Linked DNA regions of Lytechinus pictus. The protein of the gene in region 3 interacts with the protein of the main gene of each other region in a biochemical or structural test. Links are inferred from orthologs where the notes say so. Each region holds a gene or a part of one and is shown on either strand. Other genes may lie near its edges.

Evidence for each region.
Region 1: the proteins of ubiquitin-conjugating enzyme E2 D1-like (region 3) and anaphase-promoting complex subunit 11-like form a complex in vitro, tested with the Homo sapiens proteins (6 studies listed by BioGRID). The link is inferred for Lytechinus pictus from reciprocal best matches to the Homo sapiens genes UBE2D1 and ANAPC11.
Region 2: of the proteins of ubiquitin-conjugating enzyme E2 D1-like (region 3) and ubiquitin-like modifier-activating enzyme 1, one has a biochemical effect on the other in vitro, tested with the Homo sapiens proteins (8 studies listed by BioGRID, with this or other methods). The link is inferred for Lytechinus pictus from reciprocal best matches to the Homo sapiens genes UBE2D1 and UBA1.
Region 4: the proteins of ubiquitin-conjugating enzyme E2 D1-like (region 3) and E3 ubiquitin-protein ligase MARCHF5-like form a complex in vitro, tested with the Homo sapiens proteins (4 studies listed by BioGRID). The link is inferred for Lytechinus pictus from reciprocal best matches to the Homo sapiens genes UBE2D1 and MARCHF5.

Annotation. Positions count from the first base shown.
Region 1 is NC_087249.1:3,773,961-3,781,415, reverse strand, and holds the start of anaphase-promoting complex subunit 11-like, read left to right. Parts: upstream 1-4,442; 5' UTR 4,443-4,530; coding exon 4,531-4,571; intron 4,572-7,455. UniProt on the Homo sapiens protein: Together with the cullin protein ANAPC2, constitutes the catalytic component of the anaphase promoting complex/cyclosome (APC/C), a cell cycle-regulated E3 ubiquitin ligase that controls progression through mitosis and the G1 phase of the cell cycle.
Region 2 is NC_087247.1:36,375,545-36,382,406, reverse strand, and holds the start of ubiquitin-like modifier-activating enzyme 1, read left to right. Parts: upstream 1-3,840; 5' UTR 3,841-4,325; coding exon 4,326-4,334; intron 4,335-6,862. UniProt on the Homo sapiens protein: Catalyzes the first step in ubiquitin conjugation to mark cellular proteins for degradation through the ubiquitin-proteasome system.
Region 3 is NC_087262.1:4,913,010-4,920,149, forward strand, and holds the start of ubiquitin-conjugating enzyme E2 D1-like, read right to left. Parts: upstream 3,014-7,140; 5' UTR 2,742-3,013; coding exon 2,718-2,741; intron 1-2,717.
Region 4 is NC_087256.1:23,777,554-23,785,309, forward strand, and holds the start of E3 ubiquitin-protein ligase MARCHF5-like, read left to right. Parts: upstream 1-4,734; 5' UTR 4,735-4,949; intron 4,950-7,756. Other genes in the region: negative elongation factor A-like, read right to left, coding at 156-368. UniProt on the Homo sapiens protein: Mitochondrial E3 ubiquitin-protein ligase that plays a crucial role in the control of mitochondrial morphology by acting as a positive regulator of mitochondrial fission and as an important regulator of immune response.

The DNA.
Region 1 (7,455 bases), on a different chromosome or scaffold from region 3:
TTCAATGGAGGTTTTTAAAAAGAATAAACTGTACTACAAATTATGGTGAAGCCAATTTAAAAGGAGGTGAGGCAAGCCTCAATGGAGGTATTTAAAAAGAATAAACTGTATTATGGTGAAGCCAATTTAAAAGGAGGTGAGGCAAGTTTTAATGGAGGTTTTTAAAAAGAATAAACTGTATTATGGTGAAGCCAGTTTAAAAGGAGGTGAGGCAAGTTTCAATGGAGGTTTTTAAAAAAGAATAAACTGTACTACAAATTTAAAAGGAGGCGACGCAAGTTGATCAATAGAGGTTTTTAAAAAGAATAAACTGTATTACAAATTATGGTGAAGCCAATTTAAAAGGAGGTGAGGTAATTAGTTAATGGAGGTTTTTAAAAAGAATAAACTGTATTACAAGTTATGGTGAAGGCAATTTGAGAGGAGGTGAGGCATGTCTACAATGATTTTTTTTAAAGAATGATAAGTGTAGAATATAATTCAAATGATGAAGCCATCTTGAGAGGTGCATGAGGCAAGTCTTCAATGAGGTTTCTAAAAACAATGAATAGTGAAGAGAAAGATCGCAATTGCTTTTAATAATCCACAAAATTGTGTAGTTATTTATTTCATGCAAATTGCTATTAATTGATTATGCTCATTTGTGCATAATTAGTATACTATACCTATTCCTCTAACTCCCTAAATAAAGCTCCAAATGTTCTAATTTTTGGTTTAGAAACTCTTTGTGGTGTTCTTCGATAATGTATTTCTTGTGTTTTTACCTTTGTATTGCATTGTTTTTTTTCAACGATGCTCGATCGGACTCTCGTAACAGATAAAATAAATCAGTTTAGTTCAACAAAACTAAAAACAATTAGGCATTCATGAATTTTGGTTGAAAACGCATATTCCATTGACGTGGTACACAAATATCACAATTTTGAGCCATTTTTGTCTGATATGCACTTACAAATTGTTTGGTAATTTTCAGAACCCAGTACCCGGGCTTCGCAAAACTGGTCTCAAAACATGCAAAAGACTTTTTTTTTAAATCGCAGAGCTCAGAGCCCCCCCCCCCCCCTGCGTAAATAGGTTAAGTTTGCATTAATTTTGAACTTTTCCATTCCCAAATACGTAATATCCCCTCCCCAAAAATGCAATTGTCACTGAAATGGAATATACATAATATATTTTTTAATAAGCCATATTTGCAAAATAATCATCATGTCATCCTTTGTCAACAAGAAATCTGTACATGTCCTCTGGAAGAAAATAATACCTCGGCCGCCTATTAAATTCTAAGTTTTTATTTTGTAAGTATTTTACTTAGCAATTTGGCTTGCTTATCAAAATGCTTAAACTTGTATGCAGATCAGATCTCAGAATTTACCTTATCCAAATTGAACTAAATACTAATACCCATTGTGATGTTATAAATTTTGAGCCAAATAGTGCCAAATGTGTGAATGTATTTCTGTGCGTATCATTTTTGTATATGTAGACTTAAGTCTAGTAGATGGCTGACTTACATTTAAGCAAAATATTTAGCCCAAAAAAAATGCAATTGAATACCAAAGATGGATAAGTATTTTACTTTTGCAAAATACTGAGTAAAATATACTTGAAATTGTGGCTTTAAGAGTAGCATTGAAAACCGGCCCTGTTCCTCATCATCATTATCATCCCACTACCACACCAGTTTCTGCAGCACAAACTTTAACTTTCATAGGTTGAGTCCATTTCAAAGCCAACACTCTCACTTTAACTTTTTTCTCTTATAACATGACGTCCACACACTGCCAATCACATCCTTACAACACCAACTGTCAGAGGACAACAGAACTGCAGTTACCATAGCATTACCCCCAAAACACCACTCAATTTTGAATTGATCCAAGTGAAATATGACTGTGTTGCACAAAAAAAAGCAATGTAGTCATAGTAGATTTTATTGACTTGTACATTCATAAGGCTATGCATATATTTTGAGTAATTGTTGTGTTGTCTTCAGTGATAGTTGGTCCCACTGTGCTTATGGCCAACTTTGGTAAAGGCATACATTGAATAAACTTTTATGTACTGAAAATGATGACAGAATATATGCTAAAAAAATAACATTACAAATGCATGACAGGTAATACAACATATTTCAACATGAACTATTTCACAATTTGCCAACATGACAATAAAAACTAACCTTAAAAAATAGTAGAAGCTGATGTTGGATGGAAAAGAATATTTTTGTCATACAGCTTGAAAGACATTACATATGTATGCCTCACCTCCTTTTAAATTGGCTTCACCATAATTTGTAGTACAGTTAATTATTTTTTTAAAACCTCCATTGAAACTTGCCTCACCTCCTTTTAAATTGGCTTCACCATAATACAGTTTATTCTTTTTAAATACCTCCATTGAGGCTTGCCTCACCTCCTTTTAAATTGGCTTCACCATAATTTGTAGTACAGTTTATTCTTTTTAAAAACCTCCATTGAAACTTGCCTCACCTCCTTTCAAATTTGTAGTACAGTCTATTCTTTTTTAAAAACCTCCATTGAAACTTGCCTCACCTCCTTTTAAATTGGCTTCACCATAATTTGTAGTACAGTTTATTCTTTTTTTAAAACCTCCATTGAAACTTGCCTCACCTCCTTTTGAATTGGCTTCACCATAATTTGTAGTACAGTTTATTCTTTTTTAAAAACCTAGCTCCATTGAAACTTGCCTCGCCTCCTTTTAAATTTGTAGTACAGTTTATTCTTTTTAAAAACCTCAATTGAAACTTGCCTCACCTCCTTTTAAATTGGCTTCACCATAATTTGTAGTACAGTTTATTCTTTTTTTAAAACCTCCATTGAAACTTGCCTCACCTCCTTTTGAATTGGCTTCACCATAATTTGTAGTACAGTTTATTCTTTTTTAAAAACCTCCATTGAAACTTGCCTCGCCTCCTTTTAAATTTGTAGTACAGTTTATTCTTTTTAAAAACCTCAATTGAAACTTGCCTCACCTCCTTTTAAATTGGCTTCACCATATAATTTGTAGTACAGTTTATTCTTTTTAAAAACCTCCATTGAAACTTGCCTCACCTCCTTTTGAATTGGCTTCACCATAATACAGTTTATTCTTTTTAAAAACCTCCATTAAAACTTGCCTCACCTCCTTTTAAATTGGCTTCACCATAATACAGTTTATTCTTTTTAAAAACCTCCATTGAAACTTGCCTCACCTCCTCTTAAATTGGCTTCACCATAATACAGTTTATTCTTTTTAAAAACTTCCATTAAAACTTGCCTCACCTCCTTTTAAATTGGCTTCACCATAATTTGTAGTGCAGTTTATTCTTTTTTTAAAACCTCCATTGAAACTTGCCTCACCTCCTTTTGAATTGGCTTCACCATAATTTGTAGTACAGTTTATTCTTTTTTAAAAACCTCCATTGAAACTTGCCTCGCCTCCTTTTAAATTTGTAGTACAGTTTATTCTTTTTAAAAACCTCAATTGAAACTTGCCTCACCTCCTTTTAAATTGGCTTCACCATAATTTGTAGTACAGTTTATTCTTTTTAAAAACCTCCATTGAAACTTGCCTCACCTCCTTTTAAATTGGCTTCACCATAATACAGTTTATTCTTTTTAAAAACCTCCATTAAAACTTGCCTCACCTCCTTTTAAATTGGCTTCACCATATAATACAGTTTATTCTTTTTTAAAACCTCCATTGAAACTTGTCTCACCTCCTTTTAAATTGGCTTCACCATAATATTCAGGTAAGGTATATTCATTCTTTTTTTTAAAAACATATCATTGTTCACTTCCCTCACCTAGATCATTTGGCTATATATAATACCTTTTATTCTACACTATTCTTCCCTTTAAAAAACCTGATTGTACTCCTGCCTCCCCTGATCTGACATTTGCCTCTCAACGTACTGGAAATAGATACCCTTTTTTCAATATTTTTGTGTTTTTGACACCCTTATCACGTTACGTACGTAACGTGCCCTCTCTTGAAAAAGACATCCTTTTTACGTGTTTTTTTTGGTCGCGCATGGTATCCACTCGTCAATGTAAGTGGCCCCCCGGGCGTACTGTACATAGTGTTATTTTATTATCTCTTTATATCGGAAACTTCGTTTTACCGAATTGCCATGCACTCTCTCCGACGCGTTTGAAGTCTTAGACAGCATGGCATACTACCAGCCGATGGTACACACACGCACACACACACACGTTATTTGACAACTTGTCTCTGGAGCCAAAGTTCCTCGCATATAACTATCTGCATGCCTGCACGCAGTGTGTATTGAACACGCACGACCACGATCTAATGAATATTCATCGGCGAGACTGACGTCATTTTACGAGTCTCCTTTCAAACTTGGATCATAAGTGCCTACCAATTTTCAAACGGATCACGAGCGAAGGTTCCGCCGATAGCTAGCTAGCCGCGCCGACTTCCAGCGCGCAGCGATCGATCGCAAGTGTACCGGTACCTGGGATTGCTCAAGACAGGGAGTCAAATCCGTTCTTAACGTTAAAGACAAAGATGAAAGTCAAGGTGAAAAGTAAGTTACATCACAAGCCATGGTATCCCGTAAGAATAGTCTGACTGAGCCGCATAAAGCTAGCCTACCCTCGGCTCAATTCAAGTCTAAATCGTCATGTCTCATGATGACCGTGTGTCCAGTTCGCCGGTTTGCAGCATACACCACCCGTTCGCTCGCCCGTTGTTGTCGATGTCGGGCTGCTTCGGCATGGAAGTCTGTAGCGTAGGGCTAGGCCTCTGCCACGTAACGGCCTCAATCAACTCAGCGGAGCGCGCCATTGAAACTAGCCTAGGCCTTCTCCTCTCGCCAAGCAATCTTGTAAGCAACACTTGTAAGCATCGCTTTGCTCCCTCTCCAAAATGTCTGCGATATTAAAATCCTTAAAAAAATGCTAAAAACAATGGAATCGTCATTATCGTTGAAATTTAGTAAGGCTAAGTATGAGTGATTATGACTGAGTATGAATATGACTTAGACAGCTGGCAGCCGTCTGTTTCGAGGAGTTTTTTAACATTTTTTTATTTTTTAAATTTCTCCTCATACACAGATGGCTCGCTATCGTGCAGCCACCATTAGGGGACTTACAATGCAAAATCCCCCCGTCGGGGCTCTTCAATTTTTGTCTTTAATGAATCAAACTTTTGAAAATTAACGCGACCGAAATGCAAATTAACATTCCCTCTTGGCATTAATTGCGAAAAAACGGGGAAAATCAAGTTAAAAGGAACAAAAACAGTGACTTACCTCGGCTGTCGCGCAACTTCACTGCCCTGTTTTATCCATACTTAAGGACGTTCCACAGTTAAAGTGAAATCCATGTCATTTTCACCAAACTTTGCACATAGATACTTTAGAACCTTACTATTCGAAATGTGCAAAATACAACATAGGTCCATGTGCTTGATTTTTTGCTATAGAGCTTCAAAGTTCACCCAAATTGATGTTCTTAAGAATTGCGCATTCGAAAGAATTTGGCATTTTTAGACCGCCCAAGATTACTACAATGAGTTTAAACCTCTATTACTCAGTCAAAATACATGAAAAAGTCATCAAATTTCGCAAGAGAGTTAATAATTGTATCGTTAGAATGGATAATCTATTTATAGTGCTATTTGTTTGCAATTTTAAGTTTAACAGCACTGTCAGTTCTTAAAAATGGGGTAAAAGATAACAAAATCCCAATCTAAAAAATGTGAAATTTTTAGTAACAAACTACAAAAGTACAATAAATGCTGCACTTTATTCAAAATCCATGTCATTTTCACCAGAATTTGCAGAGTTGTAGAGGAAGGTATACCTAAGAGGTACAAACATTAAAAAATAGGGGTTCATGTGCTTGTTTTTAAACTATCAGCATTTTTATTAGAGCAAATGTGCTTTTTAAAACACCAAAAATGCGCCGAATGCTTTGTATCTATGTGAAGAAAAAATCAAAACCACTATACCATTCATTCAAACTCGGTTTAATATTCGTGATTCTTGGCAGCACTGCAGAGTAAAGTATTTTGAAATTGTAGAGAATTTGTTTTTGAATGGTCCATGGAATAATTTCAGTTTTTAGCTTCATGAAATAATGCATCGGATCTGCAGTTAAAGTGCAGAAGATGAGAAAAATCAGCTCATACCCGCAGCTAATTAATCACCTGTTCATCCATTGTGACGTCAGCGCGCAGAGTGTAAACTATGCGCAGATCATAATGCGCACAAACATAACTGTGGAACGTCCTTAACACACATAAACATATGGCCATTGAGTCCCCTGTACAGATCGCGCTAGAACTTCGGTCTCTGTATTTGGTGAGTGAAGCCAACGGAGTTCAGCTGAACAACCAACATAACACTAGAGACCGAAGCTTTTGGTCTAGAATATGACTATGAGTCTGAATATGAATCATAAATGTTTATCATTTACATTACAAACACTTTTCATGAATTCAATCATATCAAACACATTATTCTCATAAAATTCACCAAACTTTCACCATAAATACACAATTACCTACAAAATATAAACATGTAAAAATTTTGCCGAAATCGTTTTTCCCTTTTACGATATTACTATTAGTATTAGCTTCCAATCGAACCCCTCTACACATTAATTTTTTGGTCACTTGAAAAAGGTATCGTATTACCGAAAATGTGTTTTTTCTATGGAAAAAGTTGAGAAAACAACAAAATCACTGATCATGCTGATGAGCTACTTTGAGTTTGACCATATTTTATTATTTTTAGAATATTAAGAGTGAAAAAAGTGTTTTTTACCATTTTTTATCATTTCTATTCAAGTTTCCTTTGGAAGGATGTAGCAAAGTTTGAGCGTATGAAATTATTTTCTGACGCGTACGATGCGCGCGTTCGGTAATACAAGGTCAAGGCCGGTCGGTAATGCAATCACCCACTATACCGAGTTTACAAGCAAATGTGGGAAAGACTTCGAATTATCAGTCATTTTGATGAGTGATACAAACTTCCCAAAATATATTAGCAGAAATTTGATATAAGCCTAACTTTGCAAAATCCTTATTTTTTAATATTTACTTAAATTTTAATACATTGAAAAAGCACTGTAGTACATTTGCTAGAATTTTCCCTAACCATGCTAACTGATAACGTTGGTGGATTTTTTTTCCTAGTTTTTTTAAAGAAATGGCAGGCATTTGAAATCCGGTAAATTTTTGTTATATTTGTAAAAAAAATCATTAGATTCAAATAACTTACTAATTGTTCGCCCGAAGAATGGTTATTTTGTCATATTGTTGTGTAAATAATACATAACAATAAGTCTAAGTAGGAGTGTAGCAATCCTAGTTGAGTAACCTTTTCCGCGATCCCATACTGGTGTCCGGTGGTATATTCCACATATCTTCTCCCCTTGCAATTGACCATTGTTCAGTTTTAGTGTTTAATTTTGACACTTGAACTGT
Region 2 (6,862 bases), on a different chromosome or scaffold from region 3:
ATCCTGAAGGGTTAGAGTGCCAAATTAATAGGGGTTGAATAACATGTAGCGATAAAAATGCTCCCTTCTCTCAGTATTAAAAAAATAATATCTCATTGAAATTAAACGTGGAATAATTTCCCCCTCAATAGCTCTGAATTGCATTTGTGATTGAGTGATAAAAAGGAAAAAATAAAACCCAGATAGGTTTGAATTTGTTGTGGTCCTGACCTAACTCTTGAAATCATTGCAACAGATTTTTTTAGATGAATACTTTGTAGCTAAACATGGATTTGTTCTAATGTATTTGCCCCATACTTAGCTCCTCACCTGTTCCCTGTTGCATAAAGGTTACTATTATGGCAACTTTTGCATTCAATGGTAACTTCCATCATTCCATGGAATCCTTGATTCTGATTTGCTGTTGAGCATCGTTGCCATGGTAGTTACAATTGGATGGCAAAGTTTTCATGATACTAACTTTTATGCAATGGGGCCCTGATGGTATATCAACAACTTTAGATGAGCCAATTTTATTTAAAAGAAATATGACCTGGGGTGTTTCACAATGACTTAGAATCACACTTAAAATGCCTAGTTGCGTGTGTTAGAAAAGGCATGACCGCATTGGTTAGATCATGCCAAGAGGACACGCCCTATACTGTCTATATTAATCAATAAGATTTGATTTTGATTTATTCTATTTAAACACGGTAAAAAGCCCTCGATCAGCCAATGGCTGGTTTTCAGAGAGGCCGTGCAATACACAAACAATATAAGAAAAACAAATCAATAAAAATAAGTAAAACTAAAACCTATATACAAAACCAAAGAGGGAGGATGAAAGAAAACAGAAAAACAAAATCAAAACAGAAAAAACAAGAACACAATTGTAAAAAAAAAGGATTATCAAGATTTCAGGACTTTTTCAATTTCAGATTCAAATAAATTTAGATTTGGTAAAGTGCGAATACGTTCTGTCAAGTATGGCAAGATATAGGCTGCTATTTCGTGCAAAGTCTGTTTTGGGTGTTTTAAGGTTTATTATATTGTTTGAGTTACGGAGTGTGAGGGTAGAATGTTGCTTAAGACTAATCCTATTACATATAAAATGCGGTAAAGCTTATTGAGTAACATAAATATTAATACAAGTGCTTGTTTTTTCCATCTAAGGACGATTGGTTCAGCATTCAATTTGGTGTATAATGCTGATGTGCTAAACAAGGAATCAACTTTTAGCACAATTCGAAGGGCCCTATTCTGCATCACAATATAAGACGATTGATTTTGGTTTTCCCTGCATTTCTCCAAATATTATGAACAATCATCAAAGTGGGGTAGAATAAGACATTTGTACAATGACATAGCAGTATCTTGAGATATATATGGTCTCACGCGTTTTAAACAGTATAGACTTGAAGTAATTTTGCATTTCATTTTATCAATTTGGTCATTCCACGTTATATAATATTCATTTAGTACCACACCGAGATATTTACATTTGTGCATATTACGTTTTATAGGAAAGTTGATTTAACTTGATCTGAAGATTGCGCTTTGCATATCATAATAATATGTGTCGGTATATAACTGCGACTATAAGTCATACGTATATACACCTTTGTGAAACACCCCAGGTGCTCTTAGATGGTGCAGTTGGCTGTTAAACCATCCAGGTCCAAAGTGGTTATAATATGAATACTGCTATGGTATGTCAGGCAAGCGCATAGAGACAACTGTAACCCAATTAGCCACACCTCAAAGTATTGAAAGGATCGAGGACAGCCCCCCCCCCCCCTGCTACCGGCAAGATGTCTTCTAAAAATAAGATGTGGTTTGGGTCAAGTGCACTGTCTTACCAAGAGACTCGTGCTCTAGCTAACTTTCCTGGGAGAGAGGACTTCTCAGGAACGTTCTTGTGGGAATCTTACATTTGGAACTGTCTGCTTTGGAAAGGAATTCACAACTTGCCATTGAATATATACTGCAAAGGTTTTGTAACACAGCAAACTCTTGTGGATTGAGAGAGGCGCGTTAGGTATCTAAGTAGTGAAAGCAGTGACCCAGGCAATGGAAAAAGATTATCTTATACCGAGGTTTTTTACCTGACTGCTAAATAAGCACGAATGCCTGTGAACAAGCAACCAGGGGACCAACGGCTTAAGGTCCTCTCCGAGGGACCTGGTAATGAGGATAAATGCCTTACCAAAGGGCACTAGCGCACCACTTGGGAATCGAACCCGGGTCACCGGAATCCGAAACCCCCGCTACACTCAGTTTGGTGATGCAACAACTCCTGTCCACCTCCCCCCCCCCCCCCATCCCTACGCCTTGAAGATACTCTACTAGATAGCGTATCAATTAAAAAAAAAACACTTTGAAAAAGTCCTGCCAATTCTAAAATTTACAAAAATAATGGGAGTAACTTTTTGACATATATTCTTGAGCTAGACCTATTCTGTCAGATTCCAGTATGATGATTGCCCAAATATATATTTTTTATACTTGAAATGAAATATCGTATAATTCAAACAATGAGTGAGCGAGCCGCATCATCGTCTGTCTATATAGGTCACTGAAATGTGATCAATATAAGCGAAACTATAAAATATTATATCTTTCTTATTTTACATCCGATTTTGATGAAATTTTCAGTGTGCTGCTATAGATTTTTCTCTATTTGGCTTCAAATAAAAATTTTCTGGGGTGGACTTGACTTTTAATAAAACAAATCCGTACTTGTTCATTCATGACGTCAAGTTAATGAAGGGGGAAATGAATTTCTGTATTTCTTTTATTTTTTAGGCCTGTCAGGAATTTATGTATGTTTGGCCCCTCTCGATGATGTTTCTTTTACCCCCTTTTACCACAACCGCAGGCGGACGCGGCGCCTCCGCATTTGCTTCGGACTGATAGCATTTGTCTATTAAAAGACCATGACATCAGCATTAACCTCCCCTTCAAATTAAATTCCTTTGAGCGTTTACTCATCAACGCTCAGGGGAAAGGATAGTCATATCATGTAAGTACATGTTTAACAATTGATAGCTTATTGGCCTTTATAGTTATCTCTTTTTTAATGTTCCTAGAGTATTCAAACATTTGCTTGGTCCCTATATTGATTCCGAAAAAAGATTATATCTTCGAGGCCGAATGATAATCCAGTGATGAGTTGGACCCAAGACTATAGCTGTAGATCATATCATGGGGTTCAACCATAATACTGAAAAAACAACAACAACATAGTCGGCGCTGATGAAATTCCCATATCTTATATTCTAAACCGGGACTATAAATGATACTAAATATAGGCCTCATTTATAGGCAGGCCTACTATCATTAATTCAATCGTTCCAGTGATCCCATTCTTCATCTTTTAACGTAGTACATGACATAATTATCTGTATACGAGATACGCGTAGGCCTCTACGCAAAAATATGTGTCTTCCGTATATCACTGGCAATATATTTGGGGTCTATCTCACTCCATATACTACCAAACCAAATAGATATACTGTCTTGTACACGTCGTTTAGCCTCGCTACCGAACGTTGGTCGGTCAAATTGAGAAGAAAACTCTCAGAAATGCAATTTTACCAATTGTTCTTGTCTACATACTTATCAACTTTTTAAATCAAGAGATAATTTGATTGTAATTCGAGCAAGTCCTAGACTGCATTTGGGTTGCTTTGGTAAGTATACTACATGTATGATAATTTTGTACAATACTAAAAATGTTGCAAGCCACATTTCCCTGCAGCTGGTCACGTGAGCTTGCGCCGGGTTATAATTATAACCGGTGAACAATGCACTATCCGAGAAATTGTCGCTGAGGTTGAGAGGTATGACTTTGTCTCTTTCGTTATGATTTTCGAGTAGAATATGCAATATTGGTCAGAACATTCTACAGAAAGTACTATATAGACATCATAGAATGCACATTAGCAATAACACATTATTTTTACCACTGAATCTAGCGTTATTTCTTATATGAATTACCATAACCACGTGTGATATCGCGACAAGCCGACATTCACCGACTAACGTTAGACTTCGTTCATTGCTTGATTTCGTGTACGGTGTAGAAATACTTGCTATGTCACTCAGCTCATAATGATAGTGTGTCATGCATACAGTGTGTGTATGTGTGTGAATGAAGCAGAGCTGTGTGTTGCGTGATCCGTGGATATCGATGAAAAAGTGAATTTAGTCCAACTCCGAGTCCGACCTATTCCTAACTTAAGCTATCACAGATGGTCTGAGTTTAAGACATTCTCGTATCTGTCAACATGTTAAATTGGCGAGATCAATAACAATTTCTACAAACACTCAAAAAAAAATTTGAAATGAAAATGGTACGTACAAGGGAAAAAATATTACTTTAGTTTAACTTTAAGTTAGTCTTTATTACCACTTTATTACCTTTATTACCGGATCTACTGGAAAAATGCAATTACTTTATGCTCTCTAAAATTATTACATTGATTGAAAACTATCAATAACATTGTGTAGTTTGAGGTCCATAATATATGATAATCCATTTTACAAAGACGATCTTGTCACTCGTACATAAGAAAAAAAGGTTGCTTTCTTGAAAATATCGAGTTTCGCAGGATCTGACTTCCGGGTTTTATTTTCTCTTATCATTGCTATAACAATAACATCAATTTTCTGTCTTTCCGAGCATGATTTCGAGTGCGAAAAGGTCTTTTGATGCTGAAAATATGAAACGGGTGAGCAAAATTGTATGTGTTTTTAAATTGATTTTTCGTTTGCATAATTTATGAATATTATCAATTTTTGTTCGGCCTTTATTTATCTTTTATTTCTCAGGCGACGTTTTCTTAAAGCCGACATGAATAAAGGAAGGTTTTTTTCTTTGGGCGATGGTAATTTTCTTCAAAAGTGTGTCACATATCGTTCTGAAAGTTTAAACGCAAGGCGATGTCAGACCAATGAGTCATAATTTTTCTTGAATTTGAGTGAGAATGAACTGGCATAAATAATGACCCTTTTGAAAATTTTGTTTGATATGAATAACGATACGTACCTCTAATGAATAACAAAAGTCGCATTCAACTTGTGGGTGAAATGAATGGCCCGAATTGGTCGAATGGATCAAGCTCTGTGTGTCTCTAGTGCAGTGGTCATCGGTAGAACATGTATAAGAGCTGGGGAATCTGCACGTGGCGTATGTGCCTGGTGTGCAATTACAATTCATGTGCAATCATCGTGTGAAGCCTAAGGAGACAAAGGGGGTTCGTAAGCCCCCTCTTCAAATATTTTTTTATACAGCAAATGGGTTACATCAGGGACGGAAGGGGTATTTCTCTTTCCAAATATAGTATCTTGACACCAGAAGGTGTATCCAGGATTTTACAAAGGGGGGGGGGGCACATTTTCCAGAGGAAAAATTTGACAAGCAAAAAAAATAAAGTCTTCACTTTCGAAGGGGGGGCACACTTCACACTTGTGTTTTTTCGGCATTTTTATATTACAAATTTTATTTGTGCCTCTCAAGGGGGGGGGGGGGGGGGCACGGCTGACTGTGCCCCCTGGATCTGCCATTGCTTGACACCAGAGGTTAGTTACAAGTTATAACCCCTCCCCTTTTAAATGTTTCATTTTAATGCTTGCAAGTAAAATATTTTCATGCCCCACTTAAAACTTTGGGAAGCCTGCAGCATGCCTCCTGTACATGACCAGTGGAGGATCCAAGGGGGGGGGCACATCCACCCACCCCTTGAGAGCCATTATCAAAATTTAAATGTAAAATGCTGCTTTTACATGTGTGCCCCCCTTTGAAAGTCACAGCATAATATTTTTAATAGGAATATTTTCAATATTTTTTGCTTTTCAAATTTTACCTGGACGAAATTATATGCATTTTTAGGTAAAAAAATTTTATTTTTGCTTGTCAAATTTTTCATCCAAAAAGGAAAATGTGCCCTCCCCTTGCACCTTGCACTTGCACATTCAGCCACTCTCGTGATCACATGACACACGCACACACAGCATATACACATATCATTCAGCATTGCTGGAGTCATAGAGGTACATGTATGGTGCAACTTGCAAATTAGTGTTGGGAGTAGTGAGAGCCAAAAACATTATCTCATGAATAAATTAGCATAAATATGCTCACCCCCCATTTCTCCTCCAAAGATCATGATATGGCAACAAAAATTTACAAGATGGTAGAAAAATGACATTAACTACTTGATTGTAGAGGTCAGGCCTGAGATTCTCCCGATATTTTTTCACCAACATAGGTGGTCTCTGAGATCGATGTAAATCTGGTATGAAATGAAGGGGGGTTAGGGTGTCTATTTTCAATGCCTTATTCGCAAAAATTGCTAGAAAATGAAGGGCACATTGCGCCCAAATTCACACAAAGTTATAAGTTCTGGCAACTTGCTGTCGTTACTTTTTATGAAAATTGCAGTCATGCATTCGAAAACTTGATTCTTCGACGGCTATTTGAAGTTTGATGTTGTTTGAAGTTTATCGCACACGGTCGGTATTGATCATGGGCGCTGCCATTTTGTATTACCGTACCCACCAGACCGTCGTGCGTTACAGTGGGGGAAACAGCGTGTACTCGGTGCGCGCGCGATGGCTGCATTCAATTCATGCAGGCGCTAGGATAACCCAGGGAACTTCGGCCCTTGAAACGGGCGGGAGCTCCCTGGGTTATCGCGCTAGGCGTGATTACGGTGATTTGTCAATACGGGAGTTCTTTCGTGCGAGCGAAAAAACTAGAAAAGTTTGTGAAAAATTATGGCTTTTCAACGGAAATTTCTTGATTGAGGTGAAGAGGCGAGGGTGAAAGGGATCGACACTTCAGTTCGTGAGAAATGGACTTGGAAGTGGGTTGAAAAAT
Region 3 (7,140 bases):
ATGTGACATGAAACTCAGGCAGGATGTTCAGTAATACTTGATTAACCTTATGGCCAAGTTTCATGAACTAGGTCCATATACTTTCTAAGTTATGCTGTCATTTCAAAAACTTAACCTAAGGTTAAGATTTGGTGTTGACGCCGCCGCCGCCGTCGCCGCCGCCGTCGCCGTCGCCGCCGCCGCCGCCGTCGGAAAAGCGGCGCCTATAGTCTCACTCTGCTATGCAGGTGAGACAAAAACTAAATTGTATAAATAATTATCTGATTAATGTTATGTAAATTTGGTGCAAAAGTACATGAAATTGCTGATACACTTAAATGCTTGTAAAATCAAACGCACACAAAATAATATGCACAATTTTAATACACAGTCGGCTTGTGTGAGTGGCTGTATATGTGTAATAGAAAACATCAAGTTCAACAAATCAGAATAAATACTTTTAATATTTTGAACATGAAAAATAAGCAAATAAGCTACATGTAACATCATGTACATGTACCGGGTAGTAGTTTTAGTATAATTCTTAATTGACCATGCAGTGGTCCAACTTTAATTACCCCTTATATGGGGGTAAGTTGGAACACTTGCGATGGTCTTGTTCAAGGTGGATTTTTTCAGTAACCATTCATAGAGTTAAAGGGATGGTCCAGGCTGAAAATATTTATATCTTAATACATAGAGTAGAATTCACTGAGAAAAATGCTGAAAATTTCATCAAAATCGGATAACAAATAATAAAGTTATTGAAGTTTAAAGTTTAGCAATATTTTGTAAAAAAAGTTGTCATGAATATTCATTAGGTGGGCTGATGATGTCACATCCTCACTTTCTGTTTTCTTATGTCATTACATAAAATCATTTTTTTTCATTATTTCATACTTGTGTGAATAATATGTCTCCCTTATAATGAAATAAGTTGCAGCAATAAATATCTAATCCACCAAATCAGCTGTCAATCCAATTTTTCTAGTTCTTGGAGAAAAAAATTTGAATAAACATAATTTCATATAATAAAATACAAAAGAACAAAAGGGGATGTGACATCATCAGCCCACCTAATGAATATTCATGACAACTGTTTTCACAAAATATTGCTAAACTTTAAAATTCAATAACTTTGTTATTTGTTATCCAATTTTGATGAAATTTTCGGCATTATGCTGAGTGAATTCTACTCTATTTATTCAGCTATAAATACTTTCAGCCCGGACCATCCCTTTAAAGAATTTTATGGGTACATTTGTAGCCTCTATGTTTAAAGCTGATATATTGTTTCTTGAATAAAATCTCTTTGGACTTTACAGCCATTTTTGTCAAAAATATTCCAACTAACCCCAATCTCCCCTAATTATCTTACCTTTGTCTGCTTGATTTATTTTCCAAAGCTTTGCAAAACGATCGTGCGCAAATTAAGGTCACAATTTTTTATGACACTTTTTCATCCAAGCGCGCACTAGTCGATCGCCATGGAATTTTGAGATCGCAATACGAGCGAAACCCTTGACCTACTTTATAATTCCGTCAAGCGAATTTGACTTTGGGATCTTGCCTTCCAACTGGTAGAACTTTATGATTTTGATTAATTTTGTGTGAACTGTTGATTGAAAATCAACTTCATAATTCTTAAAATGTGCGCAAATTATGTTTAAACTTTAGTCACGTAGTAGAGTACGCTTAGCCTTAGACTTTTTTTTAAAATGACGTGTTGCTTCTCTTAAAATTAAAGTCTTAGCAAAAAGTGACAGTTTGTTACTAGTTTTTGAGAGCGAGTATTTGTGGCCCGAGGGTTCGGTTAGGTGTAGCGGTAGTGCAGTGTTGTGGAGCCTACATTATAGTATGGTCAGTTCCCCCATGTCTGCGCGGTCTCCCAAGTCTGCGCACCCGCGTATCTGCGCGATTCTAGTAAAAGAAGATACGCAACGAGCACGATCTTTACACATGCAATACATAGACAGGTATTCATAAAAAAATCCGACTCAAAATGGTTGAAAAATAATGAATTCAGGGCATTTCATGTGACGGCCTCAAAATGCAGCCTTTGTCATCAAAATCCCCGAATCGTGTGCAAAGTGAATGAGTGCGCAGACATGGGGTACCATTTTTTTTTTTCAATCTGAAAATGACTGCCCGAGGTTTTTTCAAGAAAATCTTATATTTTCTTTCATTTTTTAATGAGAAATTTGGTACACTTACTCTTAATAATATAAGGAACACTATTAACCAAAGATTTTGTGAAATAAAAAGGAAATTCATGTTAAATCTTAACTCAAATTGTTAGGTGCGCAGACTTGGGGCCCACCATCATACATGATCATGAACCATCGCCTGCTGAGCTGAGTCTAATCATAATTCATATTATTATTAACCTTGTTTGTTCATTGTTGAATGAGCATGATGAGTGGTCTACGACTAGGGATTTTACTTTTTACTAAATTTTAGATCTCGTCTCTTTTTAGTTTTACTCACTCTCCCTTGGAGTTGGATTATACACATGATAGTGATACACATTATATTACTAAACGTAAGTTATAGACACAGGGCCTTGTCTAATTCATGTTTGGAATAGATCTACACTGCATCTGCAGTGCAGAACATATTCTGAACATCCTGATTCACACACAAACATTCATGATCCATTCCATGCACTGCAACTGCACGTCCAGAAAAAAAAAGTCCAAAACAAAAAGTGTGAATTGTGATTGTAAATTCTAACTCACCTTTGCTATTCTTTTTAATGCCATTGCGACTATACAGTAAACAGGTTCTAAAGATTGTAAATAACGTAAACAAAGGCACCAAATGCCCAGAATCTAGTGGAACTTGATCATGGAATCGTTACTCATTAGCCTTTTCGTTGTCTATTTGTTGTAGTTTGCGTATTTTACGTGCATCTTCTGCAAACTGCATTGCAATCGAATCTACGGTACGGTACGGTACGACGAAATTACCATTCACGCACGCGCGCGACCTTGAGGGCAAAAGAAACGGGCGTGCGAGCTACACTTGTTGAAGTGATAGCTGGCGAACAGCGCGTACGACGTCATGATCATATTGCCAAATACAGGCAATACGGAAAGAACTTACATCACAGAGCCCTCATTCGCTTGAACACAACATGTGATTTGCTGTAGTAACTATAGTTGCGTAACGTAACAAGAAAAGTGAATCATCTCTAACGAAGTTAATTTCACAGCATTGGGAAGAGATGATAATCGGATTTCTCGTATTCTTAGAAAAGAGGTTAATTTCAGGCAGCCTTAAACAATTTGAATTGCATGAATAAACCGAGGAAACATAACCAAACAGGCATTATAATTATAGAATTGCATCAAAATCAGATAGCCCGATAAAATAATTAATGTAGGCCTGAATTGCAGGGCCGTAGCCAGAAGCATTTTGTTGGGGGGGGGGGGGGGTGTACCAGCTAAATTTGCCAACTAAATTTGGCATGACAGCGCCAACGTGAGCACAGGGGGAGTCTGATGGGGGATGTGCCCCCCCTACAATAATCAATTGCTAAAAGATTTTGAATTTTTAGAATTGAATTAGTGGCATTTGGTGAATACTTTAAGGTAAATTATATACAAAGATATACAAAGATATTTGCACTTTAAAAATAAACATTTTGGATCAAAATAGAAAGGCTAGTGTGCCGTAGTTGCTAACTTGCAGTATATAATGATATACCCTATGCATTAATAATATCAAAATCAAAGATTTATTAATTTTTGATTGACCTTCTGTGCAAGATGTCTCAACTAAAATTTCAAGAATGCTACTGCTAACAGTGGCGTACCGTGGGTCACGGCATGGGGGGGGGGGGGGGGCACCAGCAAAAATTTAGAGTCATTAAGTGGGCGCGCGTAGCGCGCTCAATTGCCAGGTATACTGACCTGATATAGAGACATTTTAAGGACTGTGCCATTAAACGGATATGTATCTTAGTGATCAAATAATGCGAGCGCGAAGCTCGAGCTGAAAATGTTTGGTATTCAGTCCTAAAAAGGGACATTATAAGCAAAGTTTTGTAATCATGATACGTATCTGTCTTCAAAACAAACAATGCGAGCGCGAAGCCCGAGCTGAAATTTTTTGTATAACTTAACCCTAAAAAGGGACATTTTCAGGACTATCTTTTGGAATTTATGAAGTGCGTACGTATCTCATCATAGTCATCTAATGCGAGCGCCAAGCGCTTGCTGATTTTGTTAGAATTACACTGGCACATGAAGCACTTTTTGTGGTCATTGTAATCATGAACATGATACGTATTTCACTAATGAAATATTGCGGGCGAGAAGCGCGAGCTGACAATTTTTGAAATTCAGACCTGAAGAGGGGCATTCTATGGCTTGTTTGTAGGAATTTACTATTTCACTAATTAAGTAATGCGAGCGCGAAGCGCGAGCTGAAAATTTGTTATAATTAGATCAGAAAAAGGGACATTTTAAGGACTGTCTTTAGGAATTCGTGCACTGCAGAAACGCCGGTGATTTAACACCAGCCCGGCCGGTATCTATATCGGTCCACACCAATGCGAACGTAAGCACAGACTGGAAATGTTTTATTAAGGCCTTAAATCACTTTAAGTATATAGTCATGAAAAAAGCATATGTCACTACATAAAACAATGATAACTTGAAGTGCGAGGAGTGCGAGTTTGGTGCATAATCATATACCCTTTTTACACACGCTAAAATTTCCTTAACCCCGTACTATAGGTGGGGCTAAATTGCCATTTAGCCCCACCTATAGTACGGGGTTAAGCTTAGCCCACTTTCTTTTTACACAGCATTTTTGCAAAGTGGGCTAACCCCACCTTTAGTACGGGATTATTTGGCCCTGCAAAAAAGCAGGGTTATCCCAGCAATTGCGGTGCTAAGAGCGATAGTACGGGGTTAAGATCGCTAGTGTAAAACGAAAGTGGGCTAAGCTTAACCCCGTACTATAGGTGGGGCTAAATGCAGTGGCGTAGCTAGGATTTTTTTCCCGGGGGGGCACTGGGGGTCCTTGCTTTTTCAGGGGGGGCACCGACCATTTTTCCGGTGTGTGTGTGTATGTGTCACAACTTTGGGCGGATCCGACTTTCGCCAATAGGGGACGGGGCCCGAAATTATCTTCACCTATATCAGTCACTTCTTAGTTTTATTCTTATAAAACAACATAAACATGAAATAATCTCATAAGCCTGATAAAAAGTGCGAGTGCGAAGCGCGAGCGATTTTTTTTTTACTCTCATGTATTTTTAATCTAATTTTCTGGGCAATGTTATGTGTGATCCTGAACAAGATTCGTATGTAACTAGATGGCTACTGCGAACGCCAAGCGCGAACATAAATTTTTATCAACTGTTCTAGCATTATCGAAAAGGGACCTGTTACGGACTGCTTACAGTTACCCACGAAGACGGTATATATTTCGATAATGCGAGTGCGAAGCGCGAGCAAATTTTTTTTTACATTCCGACCTAAAAAATTGTCATTCTAAGCACTTTTTGTATTAATAAATGGGATAGGTATGTAACTAAACAATTGATGCGAGCGCGAAGCGCGAGAGGAAGAAAATTGAGATTTTAGACCTCAAAGCGGGACATTCTATTCATATTTTGTAAATCATAAATAGGATATAGTCAATTGGGTATCATTAATAATGCGATCGTGAAGCGTGAGCAGACAATTATTGATATTCTGATGTGAAACTGGATAATTCAAGTACATGTACATTTTAAATAAAGAACATGCAGGCTATCGCGCGTGTTGTAGATGTAGACCTAGAATCTGGGCATTCTGAATACATTTGTTACATGGAACATTATGGAATACACGTAGACAATATGAACTTCGCAAATCAAACAATGTGACCACGCAGCGTGAGCTTAAAATGCTGATATATGTAGACCATAAAACGGACATTTTACAGAGCACTTAAATTTGTAAATGAAAAAAAAATAATGAAAGCTCGATGTCGAGCTAAAATATGTTTTGCATATTGACTTCAAAACTTGCTCCATATCAGCCTATTGAGCAAGATATGAATCTCATCGAACAGGCAATTCTGGCGCGAAGCGCCAGTAAAAATTTTATATAGTAACATAAAAAGATTTGTTTTTTAATTACATTATTTCATTCACTCGTCTTCCTCCTCTTATTTTCTTCTTCTTTTTTTCTTCTGTCTTTCTTCTTCTTTTCCTTTTTCTTTTCCTTTTTTTCTTTTCTTCTCCCTTTTTTCTTTCCTTTTTTTTTTGCTCTGCCAATTTTTTCTGGGGGGGGGGGGGGGGGGCACCTGGGGGGCACACCAAATCTCAGGGGGGCACGTGCCCCCCCAGGCCCCCCGTAGCTACGCCACTGGTTAAATGGCAATTTGGCCCCACCTATAGTACGGGGTTAAAGGGATGGTCCGGGCTGAAAATATTTTTATCTTAATACATAGAGTAGAATTCACTGAGCAAAATGCCGAAAATTTCATCAAAATCGGATAACAAATAATAAAGTTATTGAAGTTTAAAATTTAGCAATATTTTGTGAAAACAGTCGTCATGAATATTCATTAGGTGGGCTGATGATGTCACATCTCCACTTTCCGTTTTCTTATGTTATTACATAAAATCATAATTTTTTCAATATTTAATACTTGTGTGAATAATATGTCTCCCTTATAATGAATTAAGTTGCAGCAATATATATCTAATGCACTAAATCAGTTGTCAATCCAATTTTTCTAGTTCTTTGAGGAAAAAAATTGAATAAACCTAATTTCATATAATAAAATACAAAAGAACAAGTGGAGATGTGACATCATCAGCCCACCTAATGAATATTCATGACGACTGTTTTCACAAAATATTGCTAAACTTTAAACTTTAAACTTCAGTAACTTTATTATTTGTTATCCGATTTTGATGAAATTTTCGGCATTTTGCTCAGTGAATTCTGCTCTATTTATTAAGCTATACATACTTTCAGCCCGGACCATCCCTTGTAGCGTGTGTAAAAAGGTACGAGTGAAGTACTTGTACTACGAATGATCGACAAAAACCACTAGTCCGGGGTTAGCGAGTTTCGTGTGTGAAAAGCAAGCATTCCTTATCCGGGGTTAGCAATAACAATTTGGCATGTGTAAAAAGGAAAAAAAATAGTACGG
Region 4 (7,756 bases), on a different chromosome or scaffold from region 3:
CAGTGTTAAACTTATTATTGAAAAAAAATGCAATGACTTTGGTATTCATATTTAAGACATATTCCTTTAAAGGCTTTATTCTGACAGCTCTCTGTATCAGCTAACTCACTCATCCTGCATACAAACTTGTGAATAGATGGGACCACAATACTCACCTCTTCCACTTTTCGAAGAGGCATATGGAGAATTGCCATCAAGAGTTTGAGTTTTACAGTCGGGTGTAGAGTCTGAAAGCAATCATGTGTGTTTCTAAGAACATCTTGGTGAAGTTGAGTGCTAATACTTGTAATTCCAGACCAAAGATCATCATTATCACCGAGTTTATTGTGAAGCCAAAGGCTGGTGTCGCTGTCGCGAACAGTCGCCATATTGCGCTTATAAACACAAACTTTTCATGGTGGGCCGGGCCATACAGCGCGACCATTAAGAAAAAGAGTAAAGTAATCAGACCAAACATGAAGGGAAAATTATGTACCCTGTCTACAAAAGGACAAACCAAAATCATGAAATTATAAGACTATTTGTAAGGTATCACAGCACGTATACCTAAGGATGGGATCGATATCCCGCTATTCATCCTCTTAAAAAAATAATTGAAAAAAGGAAAAAGGAAGGAGAGGAGAAAAGAAAGAAATAAAGAAGGGGGGCAGGCGCGGTTCTAGACTATTAAAAGATTGGGGGGGGGGGGAGGGGTGGCTTCAGGGGGCTTGAGAATTTTTTGTACATTGGTTTATTCAATACAATGAAAATGGCCCATTGTGGGGTAGCCTTATACTGTCCCAGCAGCTAGTCCCTCTCCCCCTTTAAAAAATACATTATTAATATTATGCAAGGGAGCGTAGTGACAGAGCGAAAAAAATCACAGTCTCAAAATGCTTGAGAATTGTTTATATATAACATACATCAGGGCCTGATGGGTGTTATATATGTAAATGAGGGCATTTAACGATAAGGGGGGGGGGGTACTTAGGACTGGTTATCAGGAAATGGATTTGTTTAGAGACTTTGAACGTACTAGTATAACAGTATACGACAGCTAGAGGCATAGGCCCGGGGGGGGGGCACTCAGTATATAATGCATAGTGGGTATGTGCCTCGGAGGGGACCCCCATTTTTACACTCAAATTTCCGTTCCAAGGCATAGCATTTTAGTCTTATTGAGGAAAAGAACACAGAAAGCCGCTCCAAAGCATAGCATTTTCTCCTTATAGAGAAAAAAGAAGAAAGAAATCCGCTCCAAAGCGCTCCAAAGCGCTCCAAAGCTTCGCATATTTTTGTTACGCCGTTCCGGTCGTATTGATCTGCTACAATGAGCTGCAATTTTGGTGAAAAGCGGCCGCAGAGCTCTGTCCGACCATCGCCTCTGCGCGAGCGCACCCGTCGGAGGCCGCGCTAGCTGCATCATGCACGCATATCATGCCCGTTCCATAGGGATGCATACGCACTCACGTACACGCTGGCGATCCGTTCCAAGGATCCCCCTTTTGACAAACATTTGTAGTTCCGAAGCCTGTTCCGAGGACCCTCCTTTTTACAACAAGCCCGCTCCAAGGCCCCCGTTTTTTGTCTCGCCCGCGGCACACCCCTACCTCTTTTTTGGTCGAGTGCCCCCCCCCCCCCCGGGGCATAGGCGGATCCAGGGGGCCGGGGTCGAGGCCCCCCCCCCCCCCATATTGGCGTAGCAAAAATAAGAGGAAAAAAGGCAAAAGAGAGGAGAAAAAAAGTAGAGGAAAAAAAAAGGAGGAAGACGAGTGAATGAAATAAGGAGAAGACTTGGGGGAAAAAATGTATGTCACTATATCAAATTTTCGCTCGCGCTTCGCGCTCGCATTGCATGATCGATGAAATACATATCTTGCTCAATATTGAGCTGAAAATATCAAGTTTTGAAGTCAATATACAAAACATAAATCAGTTTGGACGTCGATCATTCATTATTTCGGTTGATTTACAAATTGTTTTTCAAAATTAGTGCTCTGCAAAATGTCTGTTTTATTGTCTGGGCATCAACATTTTCAGCTCGCGCTGCGCGCTCGCATTAGTTGATTTGTCAAGTACCTATATTCTCTTCGTGTATTCCATAAAGTTCTCAAAATATCCTTTTTCAGGTTTGATTGTCAAAACCTATGCAGCTAGCGCTGCGCGTTCGCATTTTCATTGGTGAGTATAATGTATACCCCTGTAGTAATTCTATAACAAACTATACTTAAAATCCATGTTTCATGACAGTAAATTTTTATCAACGATTTCATGATAAAAATGCGTTAAGAATGCCCAGAATCTTAAACACGCGCGTGCATGCTTTAAGGGATGGTCCAGGCTGGAAGCCTCAATAAAATAGAGTAAAATTCACAAAGTAATATAATAAAATACAAAAGAAATAGTGAGTGGATGACGTCATCAGTCTCCTCATTTGCATACCGACCAGGATGTGCGGCGTATAACTGTTTTGTGAAAACAGCAAAACTTTAAAATGTCATAACTTTCTTATTTTACATCCGATTTTGATGAAATTTTCAGTGTTATGCTTAATGTGTTTTTTTCTCTTATTATTCAAATCAACTTTTTGATAGGGTGAACTTGTCCTTTAAACCTAGCATATGGAGCACTTTATGAACTTGCAAATAAAAGTACATCTTCTACATCGTTAAATTACTGAATGGGATACTCAACATATATAGGCTGCAAAAAAATACAACCCAATCATCACTGCCCTGCATTTTGTAATGGATCCCCCCCTTTTTTTTTTGCTTGTCAAATTTCACCACCCCTGTAAAAAAAAATCCTTCCCAGGACCCTGCAGCCAAATGTGATTGAAGTATCAATATTTGGAGAACAAGATCAACCAAATGTAGGCCTATTCTCAACTTTCAAAGCATGAATAACTGTTTTGTGAAATTAAGCAAAACTTGAAAATGTCGTAACTTTCTTATTTTACATCCGTTTTTGCTGAAATGTTTAGTGTTATGCTTGGTTGGATTTTTCTCTTATTATTTAAATCAACTTTTTGTAGGGGTGGACTTGTCCTCTATTAATCAATTAATTTACATTTTAACACCTCCTCCCCTTATAGGCCTATTTCAGAAAAACTACAACTTATAATAGGCTTATTTAAATTCCGACTAGATTTAGAGGCGTCGCACAGTGGGCCAGAATGAGTTGAAAGTGCGCCAAAATTATATTCCGTGTTATATTTTTACTTTAACATGTTGATTGAGGGTAATTTTGGGCGTAGAATCGACTGAACATAATTTAAAGCCGATATGACGTCACTTTGATACCAAATTTTGATTGGCTACTTAAAATCTATCTGCGAAAAGACAAATTACGCTAAACAATGTGCAGTATATAATCTTTGTGTTATGTGTTACTTTAAGATTGACCAGAGTGAGCGGTGGTTTATGCTTCTCATATGCCTAAAAAGTGCGTAAGAGATTCTGAAAATAATTTGATGGCATCAAAATGATCATTAGATAAAAAAATACTTAAAAATCTGAAAAATATTAACCGTGCTTTATCAAGCGGCGTAGACTTGGGTAAAACGCAGAGTATATAACACCACGAATGAATAACTATGAGGAGGGTTTTGGGCTGAAATTATTCTACAAGTAACTTTTATCTCTGGAAGAGGGGCGGGTAGCCCTAATTTGCGTTATCAACCTTTATTTTGTTTGCATTAAGCCTGGAATTCATGTCATTTTCAAGGAATGGAAGGGGAATCGTCCTCGCCGTGCAAAAATGAAAGGAAATGTATACACCCCACACGGTGCGCAGCGATGACTGCGCGGTATGAAAATGACCGTTTTTGAACAGGTTTTGGGGGTGTTGTGTCAAGTAAAATCGGCTGTAACATGAAAACGGGCAAAAACGGGCAGCTAAATTTGGTATCATCTTAAAGCTTAGACATCTAGCAAAATGATGATGATAGAATTTAAACGGAAATCCACGGAAATCTAAACTTTTCTAATGTAAATAAAAAAAACATGGATTATCAGCCTTTTACAAGGAATAATTATCCTATAAACCTTCTGAAATGTGTCATTTATCTAATTTAAACCCTTTCACACGAAAAAAGAATATATCAGGATTATGTGGGTGCCATTTCAGATTCCTACATGAAAAACCTCCTGTGAAATGGCTTGTTTTTCAACTAAGTAGTCATATACGCGGCATTTCGCAAAATGTCACATTTTAAGATTTGAGGTAGGAAATTAACAACCTTTATGCAAATTCCCGAATGAAATATTTTGCTGAAGTTAAAGCTTATTGCGGCATACAATATTGTTCTACCAAGAATGTATTTCTATTTATTTTCTAGTTATTTTCTAATCTACTTGGATTTGCTCTTCTCAGATTCAATGCTTATAACGCAATTAAAAACAGTTTTCAGTTCAGGAGCATATTCCAGTGTGACACTTGATCAATTTGATGTTTTATTATGAGTTAGAGAGATTTATAGATTTTTTACTACGTTTCCGCTCCGTGCTGACCGGTCAGTGATTGCATCTTTGAAAGGGCAGGGCAAGCGTATTTGGTGAAGATTTGTTTATATGCCATTTTGACAAGAGTTACGACAAACTTTTGTATATACTATAATTATCTTTTTCATATTAGAAAGATGCACAATAAAAATATTTCATATATGTATACATCATATTGGTAATAATATCATTATGTGAGAAGTGAGATTTTATAGATAGAGTCAATGGCGACAATAGTCAAATATGACTAATCGCCACCCAAACCAACATAAGAAGAAGACAAAAGCTCGCTACTTTCACCTCATAGGTACTAGGTCGCGCGTTATTGGTCGCCAGAGCTCGAGCAGTGTATAAAGGTACACTCCACAACTACAAGTGCAGGAGCACCGCCGCCGACCTCCACCTTGCCTTCCGATTATTAATATTCTAAATGGTTGATTGTAGCCCTGCCCTGTAACACGAAAAGTTGTAAGTTCTCTATAAACATTTTCGAGTCGTTGTCTCGTTGTGGTGTGCGTCATTTTTGTTAGGCTTTAAAGCCAAGCCCAAGCCAAGGCAATTATTAGCAATCGAATTAGACGGCATTGAGTGTAGGCACATTTCCTTAATCGGCGCGTGCGATTCTCATGCACACATGTCGCATTAGGCGGATCACAATTTCGTGATTCGGTTTAGATCTAACGTTAGATACTGCACGGAGCGAAATCGCCGGTCATCTCTTTCAGTTTCTCTCTTATTTATAAATGTTCTACTTATTTAGCGATTGTGCAAGGGTCCACACCAACTGACCAAATTTTTACCCCATTAAAAAAAAAATTGTGGCAGTTTTAAAGTGAGTTTTCATTTAATTTATTGCATGGTTTGTTGAAATTGTTGTGTGACGAAATAGATTTTCTAACTTAGTAGGCCCTAATTAGAACGGCCTTTTCCTGAAATAAGTCACCTCTCTTCTTGTGTGTGTCAGTGTGTGTGCGCTCGTTGTGTACAAAGTCAATGGGAGATGAAAGAAGTCACTGCCATTGACGAAATGAACGGCAATGAATGGAGTGGTGACTTAAACCAGGATAATGCCTTGGCTTTAACTAGTTAGAAATAAGTTGGTCTTGGATGGTCCGGTGTCAGTAACCATTCTGGACTCTGGAGATGCATTGACATTCATGACATTGTCAATGATTGAGACAAGTCTAAAAATAATTTGCTAACTTGTTCAGTAGAGGCGCACGGCCAATATGGGAGACTCTCCAATATGGGAGACAATCTCCCATATTAGAGACTTGCTTTGCAAAAGAACAAAAGAAACACCAACAAAAGCATAATTTTTTCCACCCAAAATTTTGTCTCGCTGAGGTCAGAAACCCATTTGTTTTGTGTGTGGATGACAACAAAAATCCTTATCAAAACAAAAGTAGACGGTGAATTTTTAAAATAGACGGTGAAAAGGGGTAATTTTTCATGAGGAATCTGCTTATCACATTTTTATTTGCCGCCAAGGTAATCCTTTTGCAGCAAATGTGAACAAAGGAAATTGGTCTCCTAAACTGGAGACTGTCTCTGAAATTGGATACCCAAATTCTTCACAAAAGTCTCTGATATTGGAGATAATCTCTCTCATGGGAGACAGTCTCCCATATTGGCTGTGCGCCTGTACTGCTTGTTGTGGTTCAAAGAGTACTCGTGCAAAATAAAGAAAGGGATGCCAAACAATTTTAAAGATAAGAATGCCACATCATTTAGTAGATGTAGATCTACATCTACAATGCAAGCAAAAGGAAGTAGGAGGGAAGAATAAATGAAGAACAAAACGAGGAGGAGGAGGAGGAGAAGAAGGGTGAAGAAGAAGAAGGGAGAAGAGGAAGAAGGGTGAAAAAGAAAAAGGGAGAAGAAGAAAAAAAGGACATGAAGGAAAACAAGGAAGAAGAGAAAGAAGAAGAGGAAGAGAGAAGAAGGGGGGTGTCTTTCTATGGTGCTTTTGAGGAAGATCAATAATACCCTTTTTACACAGGATTTTCTTAACCCCGGACTATCGCTAACCCCGTACTATCCTTAACCCCGTACTATTTTTTTTTCCTTTTCACACATGCCAAATTGTTATCGCTAACCCCGGATAAGGAATGCTTGCTTTTCACACACGAAACTCGCTAACCCCGGACTAGTGGTTTTTGTCGATCATTCGTAGTACAAGTACTTCACTCGTACCTTTTTACACACGCTAAAATTTCCTTAACCCCGTAATATAGGTGGGGCTAAATTGCCATTTAGCCCCACCTATAGTACGGGGTTAAGCTTAGCCCACTTTCGTTTTACACTAGCGATCTTAACCCCGTACTATCGCTCTTAGCACCGCAATTGCTGGGATAACCCTGCTTTTTTGCAGGGCCAAATAATCCCGTACTAAAGGTGGGGTTAGCCCACTTTGCAAAAATGCTGTGTAAAAAGAAAGTGGGCTAAGCTTAACCCCGTACTATAGGTGGGGCTAAATGGCAATTTAGCCCCACCTATAGTACGGGGTTAAGGAAATTTTAGCGTGTGTAAAAAGGGTATAAGAACACTCAATGAGTTAATGCAACTGTTGTAACTTTGCCATTATGGCAACTACCATGGAAACCTTGATTCTGATTGGCTGCTGATCCCTGTTACAACAATTGCAAGTCTTTTATGAAACGGGTCCCAGAAGCACACTCAATGAGTTAATGCAATGAGCCAGATACTTTGTCAGTGCATAAAATATCCTTATATTTGGCACACTTGAACCCCCCCCCCCTCACTCAACTTACAAGTTACCATAAAAATAGCACTTGGTCACCTATTTTCAATTTTTTTTAAAAACAAAAGTATTATTCAGACCAGGTGATTCAGGCTATTGGACAATTTCTTTAAACTAATTTCTCTTTAACCATTCAATTGAAACACAGAATGAATACTTATAAATTGGGCAGGGGGCATGTCTGTGCACCTAACTATTTAATTTAAGATTTAACATGAATTTCTTTTTATTTCATAAAAAAATTCAGTTGATAATGTTTTTTATATTTTCATGAGTAAGTGTGCCAAAAAGCTATTAAAAATTGGAAAGAAATGTATGATTTTCTTGGAAAAAAACCTTGGCCAGTCATTTTCAGATTGAACCAAAAAATGTTGGTTGCCTCCGACGAAGATTCTGCTAGGATCGAAAGCTTAGGCCCCTTTTTGACTTTCCAAAAAATGTTTCACGCACCCATTCACTTTACACACGATTCAGGCATTTTGATGATAAAGGCTGCATTTTGAGGCTGTCA